Drosophila melanogaster: one gene and its partner. The protein of the gene in region 1 interacts with the protein of each later gene in a pairwise test. Each region holds a gene or a part of one and is shown in the gene's direction. Other genes may lie near its edges.

Evidence for each region. The genes of interacting proteins can lie anywhere in the genome.
Region 2: the proteins of CG9568 (region 1) and FoxL1 interact in a two-hybrid assay, tested with the Drosophila melanogaster proteins (one large-scale study listed by BioGRID).

Annotation. Positions count from the first base shown.
Region 1 is NT_033779.5:9,008,553-9,011,988, forward strand, and holds CG9568 (uncharacterized protein), read left to right. Parts: upstream 1-2,030; 5' UTR 2,031-2,107; coding exon 2,108-2,165; intron 2,166-2,226; coding exon 2,227-2,412; intron 2,413-2,483; coding exon 2,484-2,692; 3' UTR 2,693-2,806; downstream 2,807-3,436.
Region 2 is NT_037436.4:4,017,125-4,020,884, forward strand, and holds the start of FoxL1 (forkhead box L1), read left to right. Parts: upstream 1-1,753; 5' UTR 1,754-1,969; coding exon 1,970-2,340; intron 2,341-3,272; coding exon 3,273-3,528; intron 3,529-3,584; coding exon 3,585-3,760. UniProt on the Drosophila melanogaster protein: Transcription factor. Coordinates the placement and migration of various organs during embryogenesis, including the salivary glands, hemocytes, germ cells and Malpighian tubules.

The DNA of each region.
Region 1 (3,436 bases):
AATATTGTCGAAAGCATAAAAAAACCTATTGAATCCTTGCATTCGCAATGACAGACTGCATATTAATGAGGACAGAAAAGAGTTTCGTTGTGCTCCTTAACCTTTCTTCAATTGAGAATAATAAGGAATAGTAAATTAAGGACTATATTTAAATAATAATATTGGTTATTTGTCCTATACCTAATTAATGTTTAAATTTTAAGCTATATTCCACTAACAAATGTATTAACTTCGAAAATGTTTTCTTTGAAAACAAAAAGTTGTATATCTTTTGTGTTAACGAATTCGTCTTTCTACTTATTTAAATTTGTTTATAGGGTTGGAGTTGTATGGCAATATATATATTCGAAAGATTAAATACATCTGCTCTAGGGCCGTTGCGGGTTGTCTATGTCTACGACTTAGTTAGGTGGTGGCCAACGCGGCGTATGCTTGATCTGCCGGGATGGTGCCGCAAGTCGCTCTTCCTGTGAGTGAGCGTGTATGTATGTTTTTTATGGAAATAATATTCTTGTCAGGATTAAAAAGGATACGTGACCGGAATACGAGTGAAATGTGCAAGCGGAAATGTGGCCAGGACAAAAAGGGCAGGAACAAAAAGCGGAAAAAGTAGACAAACAGGAGCCGCAACAGGACTAAAATGTATCTGTCAGACTCCTCGACTTTTGCTATCGTTGTCGCCTGTCGCGTATCTGTATCTATGTTTGTGCTTGTATTTGTCTTGCCAGCTCTTAGCACCACCGCCATCGTCATCATCATCATCATTTCGATGCTTATCCTTGCTTATTGTCCTGTCGGAAAGAGCTCGCTGCTGCTTCTTGTCTGCTACTTTTTTCCTTTTTAATTTTTAAGAAAGCATATTGTAATTCTGTTGTTTACCTGTTTGGACACTCGGATACACGTACTTTTTAAATCTCGACCGCAGGCGATCCATTGTTTTTTTTTTTTTCTTTCGTTCTTGCCAAATTGGAGTGCTCCCTCCCAATGCAATGCAAAGTCAGTCATTGGTCCTGTCATTTGTTATATTCTCCTACGCATCCTTGACAGCGGCTTAGCATCCTTGTTGTTATAGCTGCTTAGCTATTCGTGACATGTCCGGGGCAATGCCCACGATTGTGATGTATGATTTTCAATTCCACCTACGGCGAGTCCTTTTCTAGTATTGTTGAAATTATCCCTTGGCTTGAGCAACAAAAAATAGTATGGAATCATTTTTTTGTGGCTTATCGTGAGTTTACTTGGCGGCTAAGCTATGTGCTTTCTTCCTTTTAACTAAATCTTAGGTTCTAAACTAATTGAACATTTTATTTATTTCTTACTTCATCCTGTTGTCATAGCCCAATGCAAATGAATCACTTTTTGTTTATAAGGTAGAAACTTTTAATATTACATTCACAATCGGTTTTTATTTCAAATTAATTTATGATGAACGTTTAGGGTTTCTTATCTGGGTTGAAGCTTATTACTCATCGTCATGAATTCATATCGACTTCAGACATTACCTCACATAAACAAACTTAACTTTTAATAACTAATAATAATACTAAAAAATATATTCTGAGACACATACATATAGTATTATAGTATTTTATAGCCTTGTTTTGTCTCACATATAAAACGTATGTTATAAACATGGCGGGTATCATTTATTGGAATATTATCAGCTAATAATCAGGATGTTAGACATTGGTATAAATAAGCCATTGTATGTCACCTATCAATTGGCAATACTTGCATAATGATTTAACTTTACATAGACTCATGCGGAAAAGCATATAAAACTTGGGAAGAGTTCTGTTCCCATTTTGGCTTTAGTTATCACATTGGAATTTATTTGATAACAGTTATCCGCCGACCTGAAAATGCACTTCATCAGCAGAAATCCCCGTATTTGGCTTTAGTCAACAATTCCTGACTCAAAGTGGGTTTGCGGGCCTAGTGATAACATAATCTAATCTTTATAACCGACATAAAAGCCGCTTTTATTGAGGTAAAATGTTGGACTACAAATTGAGCAGCTATCGGCTACACTTGATTCAGTTTCGCTTGAGGTAGCCTTACGAAGAGTTGCGCTTATAATTATTAGGAATAATATTAACCTATCGAAATGTGGAAGAAAATAATTTTCTGTGTGGTGCTTGTGGCCTTTGTGGTTGTGCCGTTTGGTGAGAAGAAAAAGTGATCACAAAGTTGAATCTTTGCTAATGGAATATTTTTATATATTAGCCAACTCACTGACCTGCTCCAAGTGCACATCGCCGTCTGGATGCAAAAGTCCTTCCTCCGAAACCTGCTCCAATTCGACGGCCAATGCCAATAAGGAATTTCTGGAAGGATACCATAGTAATGTGCCCACCGTTAATGGCAGTCTGAGTTTTTCGTGTGCCAATCTCACTTACTATCATGCAGCAAGTATGTTTTTTTTTTTTCTGATTTACGCTTTTGAAAGAAGACATCCTAACTTGTTTTGCATCCCTTTTCAGACTACACTCACACCTTTGAGTTCCTGGGCTGCGTCTTCAACGAAACGAATGTCTGCAATCTTTCCCTGAACAACACCGCGAGTGGATGGAGCAAGAAGTGCCTCCAATGCGGCACCGACTACTGCAATCCAGCTGGAACCTACAGCAGCAGTGTCTATACAATCGTGGGATCCGCCATTGCCGTGATTTTGGCCAAAGTTCTAAGCTAAACTTATAATCTGACGACGGAGCTAAACAGTATTTCAACTACCTTTTGATTGTACAATATTTATTTGAATTAAAAATAAAATCATTTAAGATAACGAACAATGGGATCTTATCATAAAAAATGCGTAAAATTTTCTACATGGAAATCCAATATTGATTTTCATTTCTATCTTGTTCACCTAGGAGATCCTGACTGTTTGTTTAAGAGTCTTATGGGTACGCATTAATATATATTAGCTTATAAAGTTTACTAATCAACACAATTACAATCGTATTTATAAATTAAAGCATTTTTCTACAAGAAAAAAACTAATTAAGATGGACTAAAATGTAACCATTGCATATATTCTAGAAAATAAAAATGTAAATAATCTTTGACCATAAATCATGAAGAGTTGCCAATCAACTCTTCAAGTTAATGAGGTAAAAAGTTCCCCTTCCCAATTGCTACCAATTCTACGCAACAGACTTATCATTTATTGCATATAGATTTGGTGGGGACTAAGATAAGAGCTCTTTATTAAAGCCGCTCAGGTGTTAGATTACCAGGTTGTGACTAATATTTGAAACAGTGGGCTAGGCCCACGAATTTTACAAATAAAATTAAAAAGAATTTACGCTTAAATATATATATGTATTTATATATATTGCTGGAGGATTATGAAATGTTTGTTATTTCGGTAAAGCAGTGAAATTCTTATTTGATTTAATATGTTTAAATGAGAGTAGGAATACAGGAATATTTC
Region 2 (3,760 bases), on another chromosome or scaffold:
ACCGGTAGTCACGCACTAAACTATAACTATAACTACGCGATTACACACAGCGATTAAGTTGCGGTTGGGGAGCTGCGCTGCGACTAAATAAACAGGATCCGAGGCGTTTTATGGCTTAGTGCGAGGGATATGTCAAAAAAGATGCGGTGAAATGCATAGGAAAACATAGTTTCACAACGAAAAACATCGATCGGTGTTCGAAGACGAAATCAGACCAAACCGAGCTGGGCCATAAAAAACAATATTTGTTTCCAATACTATTCCCAGCATAGGTCTAAAAATAAGCAAGCTAAACACGCAGGGCAGCGACATCTTCGAGAGAATCGGAGGACCATGGGCCATAGGATAACCCATTGTTTTATGACCCATTCTCACCAGCGGTAAGCGATCGTAAAATTTGAATAAATCGGGAGAGAGCGTGAAGAATCCTTTGTGGCATTGGCATCATCCACACATGTGAACTTCAATTGCTTCGGGCATTTTGGATTTTCAGTTCTTCGATTTGCGTTCAATGTTTTTATTTCTTTCAAATGATCTCTGCTTTCTACTTGAGAACGGAACGATCGTAAAAATCGAGCGTAGTCCTGTTTGAAATGTATACACAATTGTTTTACGACCTTTTAAGATATAGACCAAGACTTTCGGTTGCATTCGGAAAATTGCGTACTTGACTGCCGCGAGTTTACTCTCGCTTTCCTTCGTTCGCTCGGAAAAGTCGTAAAAATCGGAAGGCAACTGCCACGAGATAGCATGGGATGTCAAGGGACCAGATAATGCCGACTTCTGGCATTATCTTGCCAGCTGCTATCCGGTGGAATGTATAAACGGAGTGCTTCTTGGAATCGCTTTATTTAAATAATGTTTACAAACCAATTGAACTGACGAGTTATCAAAGCTCTTTAGTGAGTGCTATCAAGAGATTTGAAAGTTATAAAATGATTAAACATCTAAATGAACTTTTTCAAGCCAGAAAAAGGCTAAATTAGTGACTAACTCACGCAATGATTACATACATACATATGTAACCTATCATAATACTGCAGTATAATCTTTTTTAATAACTGGGACTAACGATGTACGCATGAGATCCTAGAAGCTTTACATTATTTCCAAAGATTTAAAAATTCCCTTTCAAGTGCCCGTAATTCAAGTGTAAACTTTGCTCGATTTTCATTTGTTGAAAAATCAAAATCTACATATTATTCAAAACACACTGGGACTCTCCCACACTCACTCACACATGGGGAAAAGGTCTTGACTCCGCCCATCGAGGAAAATACAGGCAAATGAGAATGGACATAAATAAACATGGAAAGAGTAGAGAACATATTTGTAGGAACGCCCCCTCAAAAGAGAGATCTGCCATATAACGGGTATATGCGAAAAAGATATAGTATAAGCAAGGATATTAATTAGTAATGATATAATCAATCTAAATCTAGTACTACAAAGTTAATAACTGAATACACTTAAATATTAACAACATCATCTTATTATATTATAACATAATAATCTCAAATATATTATACTTATTTCATATTTCAATTTATTCAATTTCTTCCTTAATAAAATTTAAATTTTTCAAGGAAAATTGTTTTCCCCTCTCTGAGAACTTACGCATGTGTGGATCTTTTGGTGAGGGTGTTTGCATATCCCTATATTTATAGACCAATGCGCTGCTCTCCCCCAAAAACACACACCCATAAGATTGGGATGAGGCATTACAAGTGATCTGCGTATCCGAGTTCATTCATTAGTCGATCGGACTTCTTGGCTGACGCAACACATGGTCCACAGTCGCGCTCGAATCGCCCACAAAATCGGAAGTAACAGCTAACCGGAAAACAGGACAAAAATCCTAAATATCTAACAAGTTAATGTGAAGTGATATTCGAAACAAAGTTCCCGAAAGATACATAAAGAGTATAAAAGAACTTTGAATCAAGTTACTGGGATTTCGTTTTGAAAAATGTTACCCTCTTGCTATGCCAATGGATCGATGCTGCCGGATAATGAGGAGCTGGTCAACTCCATGCTAGCGAATCCGGATTATCTCAGGACCCAGGTGTCACCCAATCCGCTGGCTCCAAGTGCCGTCGGAGGTGCGGGCATGGAGGGTCTGATGTGCGGATCGTTTTCACCGGCCTTCTACTACCAGGGCATCGATAGCTTTCTGGCCCTGCACAACAACATCTGGGGATTGCCTATATCCTTTCTGCACAACTCCCATCGACCGGAAAAGCCTCCTTTCTCCTACATTGCCCTCATCGCCATGGCCATCAGCAGTGCACCCAACCAGCGACTGACCCTCAGTGGAATCTACAAGTTTATCATGGATAAGTAAGTTAATTGAACAATACAAAAATACGAGATCTTTGATAGATCAATAAGTGAATTTAGTTTGTAAATCAGCAAATAAAATTTCCAATTTCTGTACATATATTCTACTAAAGCTCTTGTTTTTACAATCCTACAAAAATAAATGTTCCGCCTTGTCTTAAATCGAGGAAAATTTAGATGACATTCTTGGCTAAATCAAATGCCAAAATAAACAACCGCCACATTCCAAGTATCTGTACAAACCAAAGAAGTTTTTATCCCGAGAAGAAGTTTTTATCACGAAACTTTTGCCACAACTGGGATTAAGTCGGTGAAATATGGAGCATTAATCCAATTTCTTAATGTGAAAATATATAAATATCACGCAGATTACTTGGTAATTATCCATATGAAATGGTTTCATTTATTGGCTTAAATTTATTAGTCATATCTTTAACAAATATTAAAATATATATGTATATATTTCCTTTCCTGAATGAACAGAGTGCATAAAAAATGGCGGCCAGATATATAAAATAGATCGCAAGTAATTTGAAAAACAGGAAAATGAACAATGTGTTTGTAAACTAAATATTTCCGATTTCTTTATCAACATAAACAAATATTATTTTTATTGCTTTTTCAAATCGCTTGATTTAAACAAACCAGCGGAGGATATAGATATGGGCTAATAAGATGTGTATCAACAGCAAGTTTTTCAGATTGTAAAATGATTTTTATATATACAAATTCAGATATTCAAAGCTGTGAAATTCTGAAGTAAATAGTTTTGATAAACACGCATTCGATTTATATTTATAAAATATCTTTTCCATTGTTAATTTATTGAAAATAAAGTATATATGTTTACCCTTTCAAAATTTGATAAAAATGTCAAGGAAATATAGCTCCTAATTAATTAATTAATTGGATAATATCCAATTATTTTTTAGATTCCCATATTACAGGGAGAACAAGCAGGGCTGGCAGAACTCCATTCGCCACAATCTGTCCCTCAACGACTGCTTCGTGAAGATTCCGCGGGACAAGAACACAATCGAGGATAACGACAGTGCTGGGAAGGGAAGCTACTGGATGCTGGACTCATCGGCATCGGACATGTTCGAACAGGGAAACTACCGCCGGAGGAGAACGCGCAGGCAGAGGCACTGTGGCCATCCAAATCGCTACGAGAGGGAATCGGGAAAGGTATAATGCACATCTAAAAACTCATAAACAAATCGAATAAATGAATTTATCTGCAGGATTCAAATGATGGCAACAGTAGTGCAGCAGAGATTCGCTCGCCCAGCGAACCGCTGAGTGACTTCGATATCTTCTGCAACGAGCGGCCCAATTACTCCGACAGGATTACGGATCTGCACAGGCAGTACTTGTCCGTATCCCTGGGCTTCAACAGTCTGTTCAACAACGAGGCCCG